Lonchura striata: one gene and its partners. The protein of the gene in region 2 purifies or fractionates together with the protein of the main gene of each other region. This does not show direct contact. Links are inferred from orthologs where the notes say so. Each region holds a gene or a part of one and is shown on either strand. Other genes may lie near its edges. The genes, in order: PTP4A2, RABGGTB and RAP2C.

The links.
Region 1: the proteins of RABGGTB (region 2) and PTP4A2 purify together in Homo sapiens (affinity purification with mass spectrometry; 3 studies listed by BioGRID and IntAct, counting the BioPlex papers as one, with this or other methods). This does not show direct contact. The link is inferred for Lonchura striata from reciprocal best matches to the Homo sapiens genes RABGGTB and PTP4A2.
Region 3: the proteins of RABGGTB (region 2) and RAP2C purify together in Homo sapiens (co-immunoprecipitation; 3 studies listed by BioGRID and IntAct, counting the BioPlex papers as one, with this or other methods). This does not show direct contact. The link is inferred for Lonchura striata from reciprocal best matches to the Homo sapiens genes RABGGTB and RAP2C.

The regions. Positions count from the first base shown.
Region 1 is NC_134628.1:1,142,332-1,149,685, forward strand, and holds the start of PTP4A2 (protein tyrosine phosphatase type IVA 2), read left to right. Parts: upstream 1-4,255; 5' UTR 4,256-4,408; intron 4,409-7,354.
Region 2 is NC_134611.1:4,026,998-4,034,817, reverse strand, and holds the start of RABGGTB (geranylgeranyl transferase type-2 subunit beta), read left to right. Parts: upstream 1-4,770; 5' UTR 4,771-4,852; coding exon 4,853-4,855; intron 4,856-5,308; coding exon 5,309-5,416; intron 5,417-5,582; exon of another isoform or gene 5,583-5,658; intron 5,659-6,413; coding exon 6,414-6,611; intron 6,612-7,820. Other genes in the region: ACADM (medium-chain specific acyl-CoA dehydrogenase, mitochondrial), read left to right, coding at 2,424-2,495. UniProt on the Homo sapiens protein: Catalyzes the transfer of a geranylgeranyl moiety from geranylgeranyl diphosphate to both cysteines of Rab proteins with the C-terminal sequence -XXCC, -XCXC and -CCXX, such as RAB1A, RAB3A, RAB5A and RAB7A.
Region 3 is NC_134616.1:7,565,667-7,573,466, reverse strand, and holds the start of RAP2C (ras-related protein Rap-2c), read right to left. Parts: upstream 3,050-7,800; 5' UTR 3,030-3,049; coding exon 2,757-3,029; intron 1,054-2,756; coding exon 775-1,053; 3' UTR 734-774; intron 1-733. UniProt on the Homo sapiens protein: Small GTP-binding protein which cycles between a GDP-bound inactive and a GTP-bound active form. May play a role in cytoskeletal rearrangements and regulate cell spreading through activation of the effector TNIK.

The DNA of each region.
Region 1 (7,354 bases), on a different chromosome or scaffold from region 2:
CTCAGGAATGGCGCGGGGCCGGTGGCGGGGTTGGAATCGGGGTGATGGAGACTGGGAATGGTGGATGTGGAGAGTAACTCATCCAGCCCTTCGTGGAGACAGGGAATGATGGAGACTGGGAATGGTGGATGTGGGGAGAGAGTAACTCATCCCATCCGTTGTGGAGGCAGGGAGTGGTGGATGTGAGGAGGGAGTAACTCATCCAGTCCGTCATGGAAGCAGGGAATGGAGGCAGGGAATGATGGAGGCATGGACTTGTGGATGTGGAGAAAGCAACTCATCCAGTCTGTCATGGAAGTGGGGAATGATGGAGACAGGGAATGGTGGATGTGAAGAGAGTAACTCATCCAGTCCTTTGTGGAACCGGCGGCATGGAGGCAGGGAATTGTGGATATGGGGAGAGAGTAACTCATCCAGTCCGTCTTGGAAGTGGGGAACGATGGAGGCAAGGAATGGTGGATGTGGGGAGAGTAACTCATCCAGTCTGTCCTGGAACCAGTGGCGTGGAGGCAGGGAATCATGGATGTGAGGAGAGAGTAATTCATCGATTCCATTGTGGAAGTGGGGAACGATGGAGGCAGGGAATGGTGGATGTGGAGAAAGTAACTCATCCAGTCCTTCGTGGAATTAGAGGTGATGGAGGCAGGGAATCATGGATGTGAGGAGAGAGTAACTCATCCAGTCCCTCATGGAAGTGGGGCATGATGGAGACAGGGAATGTTGGATGTGGGGACAGAGTAACTCATCCATTTTACCTGTGATCCTGCTTCTAATGTGCCCACTGCCTTTGTGCTTCCTATACGTAATGCCACTGTTTATGTGACCCACCCCATCATCGCACTAGAATTAAATCATAAGAAAACCCCTCAGAGCATAGAGTGTGGGCACGAAAGCTGAATGAAAAGTGGCAAACAGCAAACTTAGAATCCTGTGTTGCTAAGGAGCAACTAGGATTCCTTTGTGAAGGCAATAACATTAATGCTCAAGATGCGTGTCTCGGCACTGAACAAAGTATTTGCCACTTTGAAATCCATCCAGTCACTCCCGTCGTGGGAGCAGGGGGTGATGGAGGCAGGGAATGGTGGATGTGAGGAGAGTAACTCCAAGTTTTGTATTAATTCCCTTAAGTAGTGTGCTAAATACAGTTTTAGGTTCCCAACATAATGTTAAAATAGAGACTATGTATGTGGGGGAAGGTTTTTTTTTTTTTTTAGGAATGAGATACTCGCTTTGAGGAACACCTAAATCTTCCAAAGAAAAGGAATTTATGAGTTTTGTATCAGAAGAAGCGAATTTCTTCAGGCCTTGCTCAGACTCCAAGACACCGTGGGGATTAATGGAATTAGTTGACATACAACAGTTTCTTGTTTTAAATAGAATGTATACATAACCATGAGGGATATATGAATATGCAACAGGCTGTTGCTTTTAAGGTTATTCCTTTGTTCACAAGGGATGCTTTTTGTGACTTAAGTGTCCAAGAACATCCAGACATCCGTAATTCTTTGCTTTTTATTGTCTTGCAATTGTCCTAACTCTAAACTTTATTGCTCTAATTGTATTACTATTTTTATAACCATTTCATTATTATTAAACTTAAAATTTGAAAAACCAAGTGATTGGCGTTTTTCACAATTATCAGAGTTTATGTGACTCCGGTTATGACTTTGCAGAGCCATTAAAGCCAGCGAAGAGGCACTGAGCAGCTTCTCTGGGTATTTTGAGGGACAAAGGTTTGCTGGTTCCTTTTTTCTCACCCTCACTTTTGCCCCTTCGTGGATTATTCAGCCGGGAATGCCGTGCTCCAGCCGGGAGCGCCGTTCTCCAGCTGGGATCGCCGTGCCCCAGCTGGTGTTTCCCCGTGTGTTCTTGACCACGGAACCGGTTCCTCGATCCTGATCCTCGATTCCCAATCCTGATCCTGATCCCCAGTCTGCGATCCTGGTTCCCGGTCCCCGATCCTGATCCCAGTCCCCGATTCCCGATCCCGGCCTCCGGTCCCGATCCTGGTCCCCGATCCCAACCCTAGTCCACGTTTCTGATCCTGGTCCCCGGTCCCCGTGCCAATCCCGGTCCCCCATCCCAGTCCTGATCCTGATACTTGGTCCCTGGTCCTGATCCTGGTGCCCGGTCCCCGTCCCAATCCCGGTCACTGATTCCCGATCCCGGTCCCTGATTCCCGATCCTGGTCCCCGATCCCAGTCCCGATCCTGATCCTCGGTCCCTGATCCCGATCCCCGGTTTCCGATCCTGGTCCTCAGTCCCCGTCCCAGTCCCGGTCCCCAATCCTGATCCTGGTTCCCGGTCCCGATCCCAATCCCCATCCTGGTCCTTGGTCCCCGGTCCCGATCCCGGTCCGCATCCCCGATCCCGATTGCCGATCCCGGTCCTTGGTCCCCGATCCCGGATCCCAATCCCGCTCCCGGATCCCGATCTGTCCCTGATTCCCGATCCCAGTCCCCGTTCCCGGTCCTTGGTCCCCGGTCCCGATTCCCGGTCTCCGATTCCCGCTCCCGAGCCCCGTTCCCGGTCCTTGGTCCCCGGTCCCGGATCCCGGTCTCCGATTCCCGCTTCCGGTCCCCGATCCCGAGCCCCGTTCCCGGTCCTTGGTCCCCGGTCCCCGATCCCGAGCCCCGTTCCCGGTCCTTGGTCCCCGGTCCCGGTCCCGGTCACCGATCCCGGTCCCGATTCCCGCTCCCGGTCCCCGATTCCCGCTCCCGGTCCCCGATCCCGAGCCCCGTTCCCGGTCCTTGGTCCCCGGTCCCCGATTCCCGCTCCCAGTCCCCGATCCCGAGCCCCGTTCCCGGTCCCCGGTCCCCGATCCCGAGCCCCGTTCCCGCTCCCGGTCCCCGATCCCGAGCCCCGTTCCCGGTCCTTGGTCCCCGGTCCCCGATTCCCGCTCCCGGTCCCCGATCCCGATTCCCGCTCCCGGTCCCCGATCCCGAGCCCCGTTCCCGGTCCTTGGTCCCCGATCCCGGTCCCGATTCCCGCTCCCGGTCCCCGGTCCCGGTACCCGATTCCCGCTCCCGGCCCTTGGTCCCCGGTCGTGCTCCCGATTCCCGCTCCCAGTCCCTGTTCCCGGTCCCGATTCCCGGTCTCCGATTCCCGCTCCCGAGCCCCGTTCCCGGTCCTTGGTCCCCGGTCCCGGATCCCGGTCTCCGATTCCCGCTTCCGGTCCCCGATCCCGAGCCCCGTTCCCGGTCCTTGGTCCCCGGTCCCCGATCCCGAGCCCCGTTCCCGGTCCTTGGTCCCCGGTCCCGGTCCCGGTCACCGATCCCGGTCCCGATTCCCGCTCCCGGTCCCCGATTCCCGCTCCCGGTCCCCGATCCCGAGCCCCGTTCCCGGTCCTTGGTCCCCGGTCCCCGATTCCCGCTCCCAGTCCCCGATCCCGAGCCCCGTTCCCGGTCCCCGGTCCCCGATCCCGAGCCCCGTTCCCGCTCCCGGTCCCCGATCCCGAGCCCCGTTCCCGGTCCTTGGTCCCCGGTCCCCGATTCCCGCTCCCGGTCCCCGATCCCGATTCCCGCTCCCGGTCCCCGATCCCGAGCCCCGTTCCCGGTCCTTGGTCCCCGATCCCGGTCCCGATTCCCGCTCCCGGTCCCCGATCCCGGTCCCGATTCCCGCTCCCGCTCCCGCCGCGGGCTCGGGGCAGCGGAAGCCGCGGGAACCCCCGGGCGGGCCGAACCACTGAGCGCGGTGGGGAGGAGCGGGCTGTACCACTGCGCTAGCGGGGGGGGAGAGATGCTGGCGTGGAAGGCTCCGTGTGCACGTGCGGCCAGAGGGCCGGTCCAAGTGCGGGGGGGGCCGGGACGTACCAAGCGTGACTGGGGACGGTCAGGGCGAGCCGCCCTCGGGCTATACCAATGCCCAACGGGGGGGAGAGGCCTGTACCACAGGATATAACGGGGGATGGAAGGAGCCGTTCTCCGCTACACGGAGAGGGGCCACCTCCCTCTGGAGCGGGTTGCTCAAGGCATTACCTAACCCGGCTTCGAACAATTCCAAGCTCGGGGCATTCCACAACTGCGCCAGCGCCTCGCCGCGCTCACAGGGAAGAATTTCCTCCTCACACCGAACCTCTGTAGCTCCCTGTCTCGTCAGTGCAGTTCGTGACGGGAGCTTTCCCGGGAGGCCACGCCAGACACTGAAAAGCGCTACGAGCTCCGTTCCCGGCTCTTTCCCCCCGCACGCCTGGAATGGACGCGCCCAGCGCGCTGCCCCGAGGCGGGGGCCGGTGTGGGCGGACCGTACCACCGCGCGGGCCGTGGGTGTGCGGGGGGGGGCGCGGCCTGTGCGCTCGGAGCCGTGTGGCGGCGCGCGGGGCTCTCGGTGTCTCCGGCCGGACCGGGCCCAGCGCAGCCCCAGCCCCGTCACGGAGCCTGCCCGGCCCCCGGCCCGCTCAATGCCCACGGTGAGAACCGCGGAGGGCGCCGGGCCAGGCGGGACGCGCCGCCCCGGGGGCTGGGGGAGAGGTGGCGGAGGGGCTCGGGGAATCCCGGGTGTTGCTTGGCGTGTTTGGTTGGAGGGGGTTCCCTGCTCTGGGGGGCCTGCAGAGTCTCCTTCGGCCCTTGTGGGTGGTTTGGAGGGGGTTTTGTGCTCTGGGGGAGGCTGTGGGAGGGTCAGGGTTGGGGAAGGCTGAGGGGGTGGTTTGGGGGTGCAGGGTTTGGGGTGCAGGGTTTGGGGTGGCTTTGGGAGTGAAGGAGGTTTGAGGGTGCAGGGTTTGGGGTGAGTTTGGGGGTGCAGGAGGTTTGGGAATGGGTTTGGGGGTGCAGGAGGTTTGGGGTGGCTGTGGAGGTGCAGGATTTGGGGGTGCAGGGTTTGGGGTGGGTTTGGGGGTGCAGGATTTGGGGGTGGGTTTGGGGGTGCAGGGTTTGTGGTGCAGGGTTTGGGGTGAGTTTGGGGGTGCAGGAGGTTTGGGAATGGGTTTGGGGGTGCAGGAGGTTTGGGGTGGCTTTGGAGGTGCAGGATTTGGGGGTGCAGGGTTTGGGGTGAGTTTGGGGGTTTAGGGTTTGGGGGTGCAGGAGGTGTGGGGTGGGTTTGGGGCTGCAGGATTTGGGGTGGCTTTGGGAGTGAAGGAGGTTTGGGGGTGCAGGGTTTGGGGTGAGTTTGGGGGTGCAGGGTTTGGAGGTGCAGAGTTTGGGGTGGCTCTGGGGGTGAAGGAGGTTTGGGGGTGCAGGATTTGGAAATGGGTTTGGGGGTGCAGGGTTTGGGGTAGGTTTGGGGGTTTAGGGTTTGGGGTGGGTTTGAGGATGCAGGAGGTTTGGGGGTGCAGGGTTTGATGGTCCCCAAGGCTCTGCCCAGCTTCAGGGGCTGGTTTGGGGAGTCCTTCCCGTTGTGGAGGAAATTCCCGGCCTGTGGGGTTTGTTTGGGGGATCCTGCGGGGCTTTGAGGGCTCCCTGCATGCCAAGAGGAGGTTTGGGGGCAGCACAAAGTTCTGGGGTCCCCCCTGTGCTTGGGGGTGCTCTGGGGGTCCCCCTGTGCCTGTGGAGGGTCCCCAGGGCTGGCTGGGGACAGCTTTGACCTGCAGCTTTGGGGGTCCCTTCTCTTTTTTGGGAGGTCTTCCTCATCTTGGGGATGTGGGGGGGCTCAGTGCCCACCCCCAGCCTTGTGTGGTTTTGGGGGGATGTTCAGGAAGGGACGGCATTTCCTGGGGGGGACAGGGAGGCTGCAGGAGGGTGGGATGTGGGGTTTGTGCCTGGTTTTTGGGGGGAATTTGTACCTGGCTTTGGGGGGATTTTGTATTTGCTTTTTGAGGGATTTGTACCTGGCTTTGGGGGGAATTTGTATCTGGTTTTTGGGGGGAATTTGTATGTGGTTTTTGAGGGGTTTCTACCTGGCTTTGGCGGGAATTTGTATTTGGTTTTTGGGAGAAATTTGTATCTGGTTTTTGAGAGGTTTGTACCTGCTTTTTGGGGGGAATTTGTATCTGCTTTTGAGGCATTTGTATCTGGCTTTGGGGGGAGTTTGTACCTGGTTTGTGAGGGATTTGTGCCTGGATTTGGGGAAATTTGTATCTGGTTTTTGAGGGATTTGTACCTGGATTTTGGGGGATTTTGTACCTGGATATTGAGGGGTTTGTGTCTGGCTTTTTGGGGAATTTGTACCTGGCTTTGGGGGGGAATTTGTACCTAGTTTTTGAGGGGTTTGTACCTGGCTTTTGGGGGAGTTTGTGCCTGGTTTTGGGGTTTTTTTACCTGGTGTTGGGGGGCATTTGGAGAGTGTTTTGAGGGCAGGGGTGTTACCTATTCCTGTGTGAATGGGGGACAAGCTTGATAAAAGCTATGTATTTTTTGGAGGGGTGGGACAGAGAATCCTCGAAGTGGCCTGCAAAGGGTGAAGTTTTTTTTTTTTCTGTGTTTAGGGCTGGAAAAAGCTGGGGGTGAGGGGTGACATTTCTCAGGCTGGAGGGGGGACAGGAAAGGAAGGGGTGTCCAGGATATGGTGGTTTTCCTGGGGTGGGAATTGGGGGCAGGGCTGTGGGGCCGGTTTGTCTGGATAAAGGGCTGTTACCCCGTGGGATTTGGGGCTGGGAAAGGGGGAGCCGATGGATTCTGAGCCGAGCAACGCCTCGGGAAAAAAATCCTGGCGTGGCCCGGGGGTGCTGCGAGTGACCTGCGGGAAGGTCTGAGTCAGGCAGGGGCGGATTTCTGGGCAGTGTCAGCTCGGGGTGAGTTTGGGATTGAGAAGGAGCTGAGCTTTAGGATTTGGAGCACAGGTGAGGCTGTGGGGAAGTGCTGGAATTGGCTTCTTTGGGCTGTGATTAGTCACCACCTGCATTTTCTCCCCGGGGCAGTGTGCGCTCTCTCGGCTGGTTTCGGGGTGAGGAGGAGGAGGAGGAGGAAGGCAGAAATTTGGCTTTGAAAAAGCTCCTGCATAAATGGAAACTCGCCTCGAAACTCCCCGAACGAACCAGGCAGGGTCTGACTCAGAACTGCAGTTAGGATTTAAAGAGGGGGGGGGGAAGGAAATAAAAAATAAAAAAAAAGAGATACCCACCACTAGCAGCAGCCAGAAAACTCTGTCTGCTTATGACTCAACATGTAGAAATACTTGGATTTAATCAACTCAGCTGGAGTTAAGGTAGGAGTGTGGATGCACAGCCAGGAATGTGGGTCTTACTCAGGATCTAGTTGTGTTTTTTTTTTTCTCTTTTTATTTATTTATTTTTTAACACCTCAAAAAACACCTCAGTGAATGATTCCAGGCTGAATTCCCTGCAGGGATCCATCCTGCTCTTCCCCACTGCAGTGCTCAGAGCTTTCCCTGCCTCAGGGCAGAGCTCAGGCTGCTCCCCTGGCTCCTGCCAGGACTTTGCCCCCTCTGGAATTCCAGGTTTGATACCTGGGAAGGCAGATCC
Region 2 (7,820 bases):
TGGACCAGCTACTAGAAAAACTATTAACCCTATCCTAGCTGGCACCATGACATGTAAAATGTGTTGTATCAACAGAAGTGTGACACAATGTAGAGTGATTATCCATTCTTTTAACAAGACCTTTTTGTACTCATATTTAGCCCATAGTTCACTGTAATACTCAAGTTTTTTACTGCAGTGTTACTGTCAAGAAATTATTCCATGTCATGTTGTAATTAGTATATTAGCATATACTATGCTGCAATTCTTCATTCAGCAAGAATATTTTACTTGCATTTGGCAAAACCAGTAATCTTTATTGATATCTAACAGTACCAGTGACTAGATAAAACATACCAAAGTAGATGATACCAAGAAACGCACATAGACTATGACCTCTAATGATTGCTAACTATAACAGCTGTCAATCCAAGATTCTAGGCAGTTAATATTTGTCTTACAGCTGACTTCAAAATGCAAACTATTATTGCCACTAGCCAAGAATTAATTTTTCTCAGTTTAAGGAAAGACAACTGCTATGCTGTAATCTAAAGGTCCCTATAAATAACTTCACTTTCGTGAAAGAGGAAATGAATGACTCATTGAAATTTATGATTGAGATTTTTTTCTTGTCAGGTTGCATGCTGTTTTAGAGAATGATGGTGTGAGGGTTGAATCTCTGATTGACTGAGATTGATTTAACAAATTCCCATTATTACTTAGTTTTTTCATTACAGTGATCCAAATGCAAGGCTAAGTAGGCTTGTTTTTCTAATTAATCAGACTTAGTATTAAATTTTTTATGACTGTCAGTTCCATTTCATCCCCAATAAAATTCAGGAAAGGTTTTGTCTTGCAAATATTTTGTCCATGTCTCTTGATTATATCTTACACTTCACTGTGCTTTGCTGTATCATTGCTCAATTCCAGATGGTAGGTACTTTTGGCCATATGTTGCATGCAGAAATCTTGATTTTTCAAATTATCTTTCATATGTTTGGTCTTTTTTTGAATTACACAATCCTTTTATTGTGTTTACTGATAACATTTTTACATGTCCTTACTGTGTCCTAGTTTTGTCCAGCTACACATCTTGGCTACTTTGATAGAAACTCTTAGGTTTGGAAACTCTTAAATTTGGAAAACTTCCTTTCTTTAATTGTCAGAGAGTCTTGAAACTATTTCCATCAGCTTATAAATAAAATCTTTCCTGTAATTACTTAGTAAGATTGTGAGTTGTGATGTCTTTACACTTGATTTACATGGCTGTGTTCATCAGTAAGTGCAAATTTTAGTGCAATAGGAGCAGTTTGGTAGATTGCAGGAACAGCTTCTGAGGCCCTGACAGCTATGCTCTAAGCAGTTTGACGAGTCTGAGTTCATAGCAAACCTGTTTGGTCCCTTGGAATTTATGTCCCTGATAGGCATCCAACTGTTAGGGTCCAGGTGCAGGCTTGTACCATTATGGCTTTCCTAGGGATTGGTGAATGTTTAGTATAGAGAGAAAGCAGAGCTTCCATTTCAGTTGGTTTCAGAAGGCACCTAGTACTCACAAAACACAGTCTTCTCGGTGGACTGGATCAACATGGGGTAAGCAGCAGCAGAGAATTCACCCTGGGAATCAACAGCTTGTTCTGAACCAGAACACTAATGTGAACACAGGTTATAGCATTCTTATTTTTAAAATGCTTTTAAGGTTCCTGGAAAGATTATTCCTGTAAGTGAATTTGCATAATTTTCAGCAATTTGCCAAACAAAGTTCTGACAGAAGTGGGAGCTGAAACATTAAAGCCTCTAGACTATGTTGCCTCAGCCATTGCATTACATTGCAGTATGCCTGTGGAGCATATGTCCTCCTTTGGCATTAGAACTTCATAGGTGCTTTATTGTTTATTTTTGACTTTGCTACCAGCAAACAAACAGGACAGAGGGATGATGCAGGCTGTTTCTTCAAGAAAATGCAAGAATAAAGAAAACCACAAAGAAAACCGTGTGGGAGAGAGTACTAGTTAATAAGAAGCAATGGAAATAAATGGATCAAAGACAACATATGGTTATGACCTTGAAAGTCTAGTTAAAGAAAACGCTTAAGGACAAGTCATCTCTTCCCTTCTAACCATGATTTCAGATCCTACTTTGAAAAATCTAAATAATGTATTTTCTTCCTCAAATAAGAGGAATGTTGTAATCTGTTTTCATGAGAGCCCTACTGACTTTAGGTTAGGAGCACCTGAGAGAACAAGACTTTCTCAGTATCTTGTATGAGTTACATTTAATTTAGCCCACTGTAATTACTCTGGCACACTGGAATTTTCTCTGGTTTTTTTCTGTCTTCTGCACATCGTAATCCACATTGGATTAGTGCCATGGAGGTTGAAAAATGTATACCTGTTAAAACCTTTTTAAAAATCACCCAGTAACATTATTGCAATTCTCCTTTTCAGATTTATGAGGGAACTGCTCAGATTCAAAGGATGATCATAGCTCGTGAACATGTTGGCAAATTTAAGGCTTAAAGAAATATATAAAGTGTGTCTGGCACTGCTGTAGTCTTCTGTGTTCTTATGGAAGATTTTAGTGTGTTTCTCAATAGAATTAAAAAGGGATGAAAAAAAAAGCTTCAAAATATTTTTATTCTGTTCATTATTAAGCACTGATTCTGTTCTCAGTATAAAGTAAGATAGAGTGTAATTTTTGACAGTCAATGCTGCATTTAAATAAAAAATTTTTAAGAGAAGTGTGGTTAGTTTGTATTAATTTTGCTTGTCATATCACTTACACTGGACAACTAACCCAAAATACAATTTCTGAAGTAGGTTAATAGCTGTATTTCAGTTTCTCTATGCTCTTGCCCGAAGCAGCTGAAGAGCTATTCCAGCTGAGCAGCAGGAAGACCTGCATTGCTACCGTCTATGTGCATCTGTGCTGGGGATTTATATAGTAGTCAGCAGTATCAGTATCAGCTTGAGAGAGTCTGGCCTTTACACTCTGAAGCATGTACACATTAAACGAGGATGAATCACTTCAAGTGGTAATGACTTAATAATGATTTACAATATGTCTTTTATTTAAAATCCAGTATATTTAAACACAGAATCAAAGAGTATGCTGAGCTGGGAGGGAGCCACAAGGACCCTCAAGTCCAACTCCTGGCCTTGCACAAAAATCCCACTCTGTGCCCAAAAGCATGGTTCAAATGCTGCTTGAGTTCTGGCAGCCTTGGAGCTTGTGACCTGGCAAGCCTGTTCAGTGCCTGACCATACTATGGGGGAAAAACCTTCCTCTAATACCAAATGTAAACCTTCTGACTCAGCTCCAGCCATTCCTTCAGGTTCTGTCACTGAGCACTAGAGAGATGAAATCAGTGTCTGTCCCTCTTCCCCTCACAAGGAAGTTATAGACTGTGATTAGTCTCCTCTCTGACTCTTGTACAGGTTGAACAGACCAAGTGACCTCTGCCACTCCTCATACAGATTCCCCACAAGGCCCTTCACCATCTTGACTGCCCTCCTTTGTGTACTCTCTAATAGCTTAATGTCGTTCTTGTATATATAAACCTATTACTGCTTTCCATCAATGTATATACTTAGCTATGCTTGCAGCAAAAACAGCCAAGAAGAAGGCATTAGGATTTTTTTTTAACCTTGGATAGACTTTTCCTGGCAATGCTGGCAAAATTGACATTTCCTGGAGTTCTTAGACAAATTACTGGATACGTGAGGCTGTACTGAATCCAGTTCTAGGCTCCCCTGAATAAGAAAGAGGGGGACTTAAAGAAGGGAGTCTAGCACATGGCCACAAAAATATTAAGGGTCTGAAGCATCTGTCATGTGAGAAGAGGCTAACTTTTTAGCCTGGACAAGGGAAAGCTCAGATAATTTTATCTATGTGTATGAATACCTGATGGGACGCAATAAAGGGGAGGGAGCCAGCCTCATAGTACCCATTGACAGGAGGGATGTTATATGCTGGCAGAGGTGATGGAGTCTCCATTTGACTCTCAAAACTCAACAAGTAGTGTCTTGAACAACCTGCCTCTAGCTAAGCCTACTTGGTGTAGGTGGGTTGTGCTCCATGATTTCAAGAGATATCTTCAAACCTGAGTAATTCTAGTAAGTAATTTCCAATTTCACTCCAAAATGTCCTTGCTTCTGTCTGGTCTCTTTCATGTCTCATCTGAATTTACCGGATGGTTCTACTGCTGTCATCAGGTATAAGCTCTGCCTGCAATCCTTACTTCTTGGGTAAAATACCTGGAAAATCAGTTCTTTAAAGAAAGCAGTTAGTCTCTATAAATTACTGATTTTCCCCCAAAACCCATAATGCAACATCTTTAGTAAGTATTTGACATATGTAAGAAACAGACCTTATTTTTGACTGTCCTATGCAACACAGCATTATGTTTAGTACTACTTCTTTGATGTTCCTGCCTGGTATAGTTCAGGGGGAACATGTGCCAGCATCAAGAGTTGGTAATCATGAATAGAGTCACCCAAGACAATTTTAATGAAGAAGCAAGAGAAATGGTTTTGAGCAAAAGGACAGCTATCTTTACCCATTTTACCTGCGACTAAATTCTTGGATTTGCTTTTTCACAGACCTGAGGAAGGAAACCGAAGTTATTTCTAAACGCTGTCCTATTTGCTGTGATGGAAGAAAGTGCACAGCTGGAGCAGACTTTACCTGCCGCACGTCAGAAGGCAAAGGCGGCTGCCGGCCCCTTGAAGAGCACAGCGCGGAGCAGCGGCGCCGCTCGGCCCCGCCTTCCGCCTCGCCGCTTCGCCTCTTCCTGTGGGGCACGGCGAGGCCCCGCCGGCCGCCGCCTTCCGCCTTCCGCTTCGCCTCCTCGCCTCCTCCTGTGCGTGCGGAGAACATGGTGGGTCGGGGCTCCGTGCTGCGGCTCGTCTGGCGCGCGGCTGTACCGGCCTTGGAGGGGCGCGGGCCGCGCCGAGCCGGCTCGGGGCGGCTCTCGCCGCTCCAGCGGCCCCGGGAGCGCGCGGGCTCGGCCGGGCCGCGCGGAGTCGTGGGGGCGCGGGGCGGCACGGCCGGGCTCGGGGAAGGGCTCCTGCGTCCGGCACTTCAGGGTGTCCTTGGCGAATTGGTGTTACTTCTTAGCTTTATTGCAAGGTTTGGTTCGTAGCCTTTCCTGGGGAAGGGTTTAGCCAGGCTGAACAGTGATGGCGTGAGATGCGCAACCTGACCTAGGCTCAAAATAGGTAGAGGGATGTTTTTTTCCCGAAGTCACAGCCACCGGTGTTGGCTCATTTATACCAAGTTGCTAAAACGTTTTGATCTGACATTGCAACTGACTTCTTGATGCTTTTTACAGGGAACACCGCAAAAGGATGTTATAATAAAACCCGATGCCCCAAGCACATTACTTTCAGAAAAACATGCGGACTATATAGCTTCATACGGAACAAAGAAAGATGATTATGTACGTATCAGTTTGTTACAGTGCAGCTGTGGTTTTGTTAACAGTAATAACCTTTATTTATTGGCTCAGATTTAAGGGTTAGATGCATGTTAACTAGCTAATTGTTTTTTACCCTGCAATCCAAAGTGTAAAACAAAGGTGCCCTTGTTAATGTCTCTATGTCTGTGGTGACTTTTGTCATGTATTATCTGACTATAATTTTGAAGATTATTATTTTAGCTCTATAATTACTCTGAGACCTGAGAAACAGCCTACTAGCTTCTTTATCCACTAGAATGCACAAGTAGAGTTGCATTTGCATGTTACTCTTTTGATGGGACAACTTACATCTATTTTGCAATCATAAGTGGTTGGATGTAGTCCACAAAAATGGAATTCCACTTCCGGCAGTAAAAATTGTCAATAACTGCTTACATGAAGAAAAGTTGCGGTTACCTTTACTGTTCAGAAAAGCATGCCAAGCACTTGCTTTCAGTTGTAGTGCATGTAAAAAATAATGTTTGTGTAGTGCAGGTGATGTAATCAATGCAAGAGAATTCAATAAAAAATTTCACTCTCTAGTGCAACTTTAAATTGTAAGGGTTTTGGCACTTTGAAATAGACTTGTTATTATCTGAGACTAGTTAGGGTGGCAATTTGAGGGCTTCTTTGGATGTCAAGATATTAAGTCATCTGAAGTGAATTGGTGCCCAACTACTTGTTCGTGGCTAATTTGACATTGAGCTTGATGGTTTGAACTAGAAAAATACAGGGAGGAAGGGAGTATAGTACGTGTTGATATCTATATGTACATTTTCCCATATGTATGAGTATGTATATACACATGTGCGTGATGTACCGAATATCTCTGAGTGGCTGATGTGTAGTTGCTAAATGGTTGGAAAACGATTCACTAACTAGAAGCTAAGATATTTGTGGAAGTTAACTAATGTATTTTCATTGCGCTATATTGATGGTGTGCTCATCTGATCAAGAACTAAAATAATACACTATTTAGGAATACTGTATGTCGGAGTATTTGAGGATGAGTGGTGTGTACTGGGGACTGACAGCGATGGATCTCATGGGGCAGCTGCACCGAATGAACAAAGAAGAAATTCTGTCATTTATCAAATCGTGTCAACATGAGTGTGGTGGAATAAGTGCCAGCATAGGTCATGATCCTCATCTTCTGTATACCCTCAGTGCTGTCCAGGTAAAAGTAGAAGGGTAATTTTAGAAAAAAGTGTTTGTGATTAAGTTTTTATGATTGTAGATTTATGAACCAGTTACTGTTGGAGGCCCATGACAAAAATTATTTCAGTATCTTATTTAAAAAAAAAAAATAATCTAATGGACAAAACTGTAGGATTTAGCTGTGTCACTTTCCAAAAATTGTCCTATTTGGGAATGTTTTACCTTTAATGGTCAATTAATGGTTACAGCATTGTTGCCAGTTTTGTAAGTTATCTTGGAATCCTCCTTAGCTACAGGTTTTATTGGAGCATTTTATAGATAATTTTTTATTTTATAAATTATTCTTAGTGCACGCTGAGGTGACAGATATGTATGACCAGAACAAGAGCAAATTTTTTTTTTTTATATGAGTTTATTTGGGGTGTATAATTGAAAAAATTTACTAATCTGTTGAGCATTTAATTTATTTGGTGAATATGCTCCCCCTGATAAGAAATAACTCTCTATCTTATTTTTTTCACTGCAGCTGTCTCTGTTATAGACTTATTTTCTCACTATTGCTCATGCCTTTATTTTGTTCTGGTTTTTTGTTCTGCTGATGCAAACCATTGTGTGAAAAAGTACCAAAAAGGCTCAAACACTTCTGAACAATTGGCTTGATTGCTTGCAGTGAGTGTCTTTCATTCAATCTTCTGGATGAAGTATTTTAATGATATTACAAAAAGTAATAAAGCATTCTTTTTTAGGCAGAAACTATGCTGGATTTAAGATGGTGGGTTTGAACCCCTTAGGTAGGACAGGATGCTGTAATGTTGATCATTATTGCCACTTTAGCTCTAGAATTACTCTGAATACTGTGAGAACCAGGACACTAAAGTTTTTCCAGGCTGTGATGTCTGAACATTTCCAAACTGTCCAATCCAGCTCCTTTCACATATTCCAGTTCAGTATAAGGGAGGTATAATTCGAGGTTGTTACCTTACAAATTAGATATGTTAGTTCTTAAATATGTACTTGATATTACTAGGAGATATTTTCATGTTAACTAAATTGAGCTGTAGCTGTCCAAAGTGAAAAAGTGTTCAGAAATGCTGATGTAAAATTTTTTGTGGTAAACTTAACCAGCATATCTTAATGCGTATGCATGGTCTTAGTGAACGAACACCATTTGGTCCTGTCTACATATCTGGGATGTTTAAAGGGTCATACCATATGTTCTTATGATCAC
Region 3 (7,800 bases), on a different chromosome or scaffold from region 2:
TGGAGGGGAAAAAAATAAAAATCAAAGCAACACCTGACACAGGGGAAACTTTACAGAGGGCCCTCTGAACGCTGGACTCTCATCACACCTCTTTTGAGTCACTGGAAAAGGAGAGCTGTGCATGGGAAGCCATTTTACAGTGTGTTCTCTGCTCTGGAGATTTGAGATGAAGAACACTTTGTGCATGCCCTTGACTGTTGCATGTGGGCTTTGAGCCACTTCTCACCACTCAGGGTGGTTCTCTTGCAAAAGAAACTTATTCCACTGATAAGGCAGAAGGGTACTATCAGTTTCTGTGCTACAGAACTTTATATCTTTTAAACAAGCTCAAAGTCTTCTCAGTAAAACTACTGGGAAACTTGGTCACAATAATCCCATTGAACTCCAAGGTAACTCCCATTACTGGAAAATAACTGAGATACCAGCTACAAGAATAAACCCACTGCAACATCACAAAGCACTTATGCAGAATAACACAGCATCAAATACAGCACTGACAGTCAAAATAGGTGCAGATGAGATCACTCATTTTGTGTCATTGTAAAATTACTGCAAGCAAATGCAGCTTTCCCTGACTAACCCTACTGAGGTAACGCAAGAAGTCCATTTGACTCAATCATGTGCACAATCTCCCATCTTTTGGAGGGAGGCTGCCTCATTTTACACTCCCTGTCCCTTTATCTCTTACTGAAACACCATGTTTAGGCACCTCAGTTAGTTATGTTCCACCAACCTGCTCTGTATGGCCATGGTTGAGGTTTTTCTTAATATCTCTCACTGGACGATGCAAGTTGTACAACACTGATCTTGCTTTTCAGGCAGGGAGGCATAGTTCATTTGCCTGACGATCTCAGCAAACAGTTCATCCACCATTGTTTTGCTCTTGGCTGACGTCTCCATGAAGGGACAGCCCCACTCCTGAGCCAGGGCTCTGCCTTCTGCAGATAGGACTTCCCTCTCCGACTCCAGATCCACTTTATTCCCCACCAGGATCAGAGGAACTTTCTCGTATCTCTTCACCCGGACAATCTGGTCCCTCATCGGCTTGATATCCTGGTCAAACAATCCAGCTGGTTAGTGCATGCAAGGAATCACATGGAATTGCTACAGAACCACTGTAGGAACACATTTTAGTAACCCTCACGTGCAACTGGACATTAAAAATACACCAGAAGACTTTTTAAACTCACAGTCACGCAGATCTAGAATTCTGAGAAAATTTAACACCTATCACTAAACTACTTCTTCTTTCATATAAAAGCATGCACACTTTAAAGAATTTATGTGCATAAACCAACAGAAAGTGACTGCTGTGCTCTCAGCCAGAGGAGGACACGGTACTGCTGCTCTGAAGGCTGGTTTCACCTTTCTGAAGAAGTTGTCTCAAGTCTAACGACCTGTAACCCTAGCAGGGGCGTGCCATTACACAACCATTTAGGAAGTTTGTGCTTAGTTTACAGCTTGAGAAAACCATCAATTTAAATAAAGCCTTCTCAGTCCTGGAATGCTTAGAATAATTCATTGTGAACACATTTAATCACATGTAAGTAACCAAATTAGATGCTGTAAAGAGATTTTATTACCTAGAGATGCATTTATTCAAGTCTGAGCCGACACGGGGCGTTTACACTTGAAAGTCTGAGTCAGCCTCCTCTGCCCCCTGAGTGTTTTAAGTTGCTATCGGTACTACAAATTCTTGCATAGTTCTGAGACAAAGCAATCCCAGCGTTTGAAGTTACCACCGTGCAAAGAACTGCAGAGAGGTTTACACCTACAGCCTTCAGAGCAAACACTACAGACAGACGGGAATAATTAAATATTAACAAGATTACTGCACATGCATTTCTCAAATAATGAGGGCTCGCTGGAACCCAAAAATCAGTGAAAATGAGAGCAGAAGCATCCCAATGTCAGTGCTGTTGTTTTCTAGAGATAAGCGTGTCTTCAGCTCGCACAGGGTTGTTTCGAGGCCTCTGCTGAGATAAGGTTTAGCCTTCAGCAGAAGCAAACAGTGGGGGTGTGGAAGGTCTTGCCAAGCAGCTGGAACACACCCAGCTCAGCAGCCCAAGCCAAGGCAGGAGCTGCAAATTCCCAAGCTGCACGGAGTGCTGCTAAACTCACTTACTGCCCAAAAACAAAGCCCCGTTTCTACAGGCAGCTTAGACCAATTACTGGCTGAGACAGTTCCTTTTTTTGGAGAGTTTTAATAGTAGAAATCAAATCCAGAACCACAAATTACCGTGTATAGCTAGTTCTGCTCTCCAGTACTCCACCTACGCTGGGAGAGCATCGAGCTCGTGCTGGACAGGAATATATTTTGGGGGCAGGGAGCGGAAAATAGCAGCTCACTTAACAAGTCACAACTGTAGAACAATGAGACTCTCTTCAGGAGCAACTGCAGAAACATGCCTTTTAGGAAGGAGAGGGGGTTGGAAGGGGAAGTCTCAGTTTTAATATCGAGTGATTTCTTCACAAAAGGGGATTGCCAAGAGATTTCTGTTGGGGAAGTGGGAGCTAGGCATTGTTCTCCAGCACTGCGTGGGACTTAACAATGGTGGCACCCTGATAAGTACCTGCAAAGCAAGCAGTTTTCCACCGGGAAGCAGGGCTGGTAAACGCGCTTTCAAGCTGGGCATTTACACTTTCGGCCCTTGGGAGATAAAGCGCTGCCACGCACACGTGGCTACCCCTAAAACTTCCTGCTCGGCCCGGGCAGGGCCGGCTCCGTGCGAGGAGGGGACGCCGGGCTCGGTTACCTGGAAGGACTGCTGGTTGACCAGGCTGTAGACGAGGATGAATCCCTGCCCGTTCTTGATGTAGAGGTCGCGCATGGAGGCGAACTGCTCGGTGCCCGCCGTGTCCAGGATCTCCAGCACCGAGGGCGACGAGTCCACCTCGATCTCCTTGCGGTAGAAGTCCTCGATGGTGGGGTCGTACTTCTCGATGAAGGTCCCGGTGACGAACTGCACCGTCAGGGCGGACTTCCCCACCCCCCCGCTGCCCAGCACCACCACCTTGTACTCCCGCATCGGGCCCCGCTGGCCGCTCCGCGCCGGGCCCGGCCTAGGGCAGGCGGCACCGCGGCCCTCGCATAGCCCCGGCCCGCCTCCCGTGAAGGGCGAGGCCCCGCTGCTCCCGCGCCGTCCCGGGGGCAGCCAGACCCCGTCAGCGCCCGGCGCGGCCCCGGCCCCGCTCGCTGCCTCAGCGCCGCGCTCCCGCCATCGCCGCGGGACCCGCCCGCCCGGAAGGGTTTCGCTGGGACACCGGAGGCCGCCCCGCCCCGCCGCCTGCGCTCACTTCCGGCGTGCTGCGTCACGGCCCGCCCGGACTGCGCCGGGGGACAGGTTTGAGTGTGGCACCGAGGCACCCGCGCTGTGCCGGGGGACAGGTTTGCGTGTGGCACCGAGGCAATGTGCTGTGCTGGGGACAGGTTTGGGTGTGGCACCGAGGCAATGTGCTGTGCTGGGGACAGGTTTGGGTGCAACACCGAGGCAGTGTGCTGTGCTGGGGGACAGGTTTGGGTGTGGCATCGAGGCACCCGCGCTGTGCCGGGGGACAGGTTTGACTGTAGCACCGAGGCACTGTGCTGTGCGGGGGGACAGGTTTGGGTGTGGCACCGTTGTGCAGGGGGACAGTTTTGGATATGGCACCGAGGCACTGTGCTGTGCAGGGGGACAGGTTTGGGTGTGGCACCGGGGCGCTGTCCCTGCCCGCCCCCAAGATGGCGGCGCCAAGATGGCGGCCGCCGTCCCGAACCTGAAGGGCGGCTCTGGGAGCGCCGCGTTGTCCCTCCACGAGCTCCTGCTCGGTACTCGATAACTTGAACAAACTCCTTAACAAACTCCTCTCAGCTTCCCGCGGGGGAGGGGACCCGGGCTGTGGCACCGGCACCGCGGTTCTTCATCCCTGGCAGCCCGCTGGGCTGGTGACAAGAGGGCCACCAAGTCACCAGAGGGATGGAGCTCCTCTGATATGAGGAAAGGTTGGGACTGGGATTGTTCAGCCTGGAGATGAGAAAGCTGCGCGGTGACCTAATTGCCCCTGCCAGTGCCTGAAGGGAATTTACAGGAAAGACAGAGAGGGATGTTTACATGTTCACAAATACATGTCGCGACAGAAAAGGGGGAATGGGTTCAGACTGAGAGAGTGCAAGTTCAGATCAGCTATTGGGAATAAAATCGTCCCTGTCGGGCGGTGCGGCCCTCGCACAGGCTGCCCAGAGGAGCCGCCCCAAGTCCTGCAGTGTCCGAGGCCGGGGTGACACGAGATCCCCTTTAAATCCTTCCCAGCCCAAAGCATTCCTGACTCTGCAGGCTGCTGCCTCCAGGTCACAGCTAGAGGTACGCAAGGTCAGGCAAGATCTGCCCCGTGTCCTTGCACTGGTGCAGCTGGCACAGGGCTCACTGCCCGGCTCTGAAACCCCCAGGGAGGAGCGGCGGAGCTCCCGGCCGGGCTGGGCTCAGGGCAGGGGTCAGTAGTGACAGCAGGGGACAGCAGGTGACAGCAGGGGACAGCAGGGTCAGCAGGGGTCAGCAGGTGACAGCAGATGACACCAGGGGTCAGCAGGTGACAGCAGGTGACAGCAGGGGACAGCAGGGGACAGCAGGGGTCAGCAGGGGTCAGCAGGTGACAGCAGGGTCAGCAGGGACACCAGGGGTCAGCAGGTGACACCAGGGGTCAGCAGGTGACAGCAGGGGACAGCAGGTGACAGCAGGGTCAGCAGGTGACAGCAGGGTCAGCAGGGGACAGCAGGTGACAGCAGGGTCAGCAGGTGACAGCAGATGACACCAGGGGTCAGCAGGTGACAGCAGGGTCAGCAGGTGACAGCAGGGTCAGCAGGGTCAGCAGGTGACAGCAGGGTCAGCAGGGGTCAGCAGGTGACAGCAGGGTCAGCAGGTGACAGCAGGGGTCAGCAGGTGACAGTAGGGTCAGCAGGGACAGCACGGCACCAGCGCCACCTGCCCTGGAACTCCCCTTGGCAGGAGGAACCGACTGAAGGAATCCCCGTCTGTTTTCTCCCTAAAATAAACCCCCCCAGTCACTCCAGACCCACGCGATGATTCCCACCTGTAGGAGCAGCTGCCCTCCAGTACAAACACGTTTGTTCTGCTGCTCCCTGCAGGATTTCAGCAGGCACGTGGTGAAGTGCTGGATTTGTTCCTTTCCCCTTTGCATCACCTGTGTGATTGCCAGTCCAGGGCACACACAGCTGCTGCGTTGTGTCCATCCTGGGTTTCCAGCAGCCATAGAGAGGTGCCTGGTCAAGGCGGCTAAAACCATCCAAAGGTACTGAGGAGGTGACTCTGCTTGTGGCTGTTTTCACAAACAGCTTTATTTTGTTCACTTGCTTTCCATAAAGACAACAGGTCCATTATGGGAAAAGGTCAATGAGGATGAGGACTTTTATCCTCCAGAACAAATCTTACTTATGTTACACCAAATTTGACTCACTCTTCTTTATCAAATATAAGTAAAAAGCCCTTGCCTTCCTTCACCGTTGCCTCCAGAATTGTGTTGTCAAGTGAATTGCTGGCAGGAGGCAGACGTGCCTGGCTGGAAGATTTTCATGTGGCTGGTGAATCAGCTCGAAAATGTAAAAAGGTGAGCATTAAAACAGGCTGCCTCCTACTTTAACCCCATTAGAAATCACGAGTTGTTGCGAAGTACCTTAATGCACTCAGGGTGCTCGGGACAAAGGAAAGCCGCAGTGCTCCCAGAGGAGCTTCCCATCTAATTTTAACCATGACACAATCGGTGACAGTGACAAACGGGGGGGAGGGAGCAAAGGAGCAAGGGAGGGTGAGGGTGACAATAATAGGATTACACGGTCACTTAGGTTCATTATGTGCACGTCTTTGTGGCACTGCTGGTCCATTATGTTTGTGATGGGTGGAGGAATGACTGCGGGAGAGGAAGGGGCAAAGAGCACAGCGGGAGAAAAGCCAAATATATTTTTGTGCAATTGACTTTAGCCAGCAACGCCTCGCTCTTGGGCTGAGGGGAAGAACAAGCAGGTGGACACAGGATTGGGAAAATGGATTTTTTTTCCCTCCTCCGTAAATCAATCCCAGTATTGATTTGGATTGCCAAGATTTATTTCCCAGCTCACAGCACTTTATACCTGGGCATAGATGCCTACAGCTGAAAAAAGGGCCAATCCCAAAGTGCACCAGGCTGTTTGTTACCGTTAAGACAAGTCATTCCCTTCATTAAACAGTTTGCACAGCTCTTTCACCGCCTTGTGCCCTACCACATATCCTGAGCCACAAAAATAGCTGGTGATGTAAAAGGTTTTGAAAGTCTGGATGGGAAGAGCTGCTTCTGCCATAAATGGCCAAGCCCTGAGCCAGCCGTGCAGGGCACCTCCTGCCAGTGCCACCTCTGCCACTCCCTCACTATCACCATCCCCTCCCCGGAGGTGCGGCACATCCCGGGTCAAAGGCCTGATTTAATCTCTGCTGTCACTTTCCCCACGGCTCCTGCCAAGAAGAAAGGAGCAGGGCTCAGCCCTCGGTGCTGCCCCAGGAGGGTTTGCCCTTTCTCAGCAAAACAACCTTCCCAAATGAACATCCGGGCAGGATTCGATTGCTGCCAGAGCAGCTCTGTGCTGTTGATGGACTCAGCTGCTCTATGCTGTGCCCGCAGCCAGCAACAATAAAGCAGGCTCTTATTAAATTAACCTGCTAAGACACAGATCCTGCAGGGATGTTCAGGGAACAGACAGATGGCACAAGCAAGGGCCAGGAATAATTGCAATCCCCATCTCACCAATGGGAGAGATGAATCCTGCCCGGTGCTGTGCCCAACAGGGAGGTGGGACTGGGAGCAGTCACCCCAAGAGGTGACAAAAGAGCCTCTCCAAGCCATGGATGGAGTGAGGAGTCTGGAACGTGTCCTGTGGATGCCAGGGTGGGCCTGCACCACCCCCAGCAGCCAAAGCCTCCCCACTGCAGCCACAGTGTGGGTGCTGTACAGCCACCACCTCCTGTGGGCTGTCCCCGCTGCCATCATCGATCTGCTCTGACTCCCTACGTCTGCCCGAGCTACAAAGCAGGCTCTGCCCTGCCAGGAAGGCTGCAGCAGCTGCTGAGCCAGGGCAGCAGGGATAGCCCAGATTTCACCTCAGTTGCCATCTAGCTGGGGACGTCATTTGTGTAAATACATGCAAAACCAGCTTAAGACCCAGCGTCCTTTCTTCTTTGCCTCTTCCAGAGGTTTTGCTAATCCACTTATTGTGCCTTATGGTGTTCAGCGTGGAAGCTGCAGGGCAGGGACATTCCTCAGGGCTGGAATGGCTACTGGAGCACCGGGGGCTGCTCTCACATGCAGCTCATTCAAGGAGGTCGTCGTGTTACACCAGTCACGGAACTGCAATGACAGCTTTTGATCTAAGCCCTGTCAAATTCCAGTGAAATATGTCTTAGGGGTTGGATGTGTCCACCTGGCCCAGACTCCTCATTCTGGGGCTGTTTCAGAACCTGCAGAGATGCTATTCTTTTTTGCCAGCTTTTCCTGCCAATATAGAGATGACTCAGAGGCAAATCCTGAGGACCTTTCTCAGAAATTTCTGATTTTCTGCCATCCCTCAGCTTTTAGCCATTACTTTAGTCGCAACAAAAGGCATGATGGTACTTCAAAAGAAGTAAAGGACATTTTCCAAAGCACTTACTAATTCTGAAACAGAAGTGGGACTGCACTGAAATATAATTGATACACCAAGAAGATTGTTGGGATTTCTGGGAGAAGCATCTCTCTTTGGCTCACAGACGTGGTACCAGATCACCAGCCATTTAGAAGAGC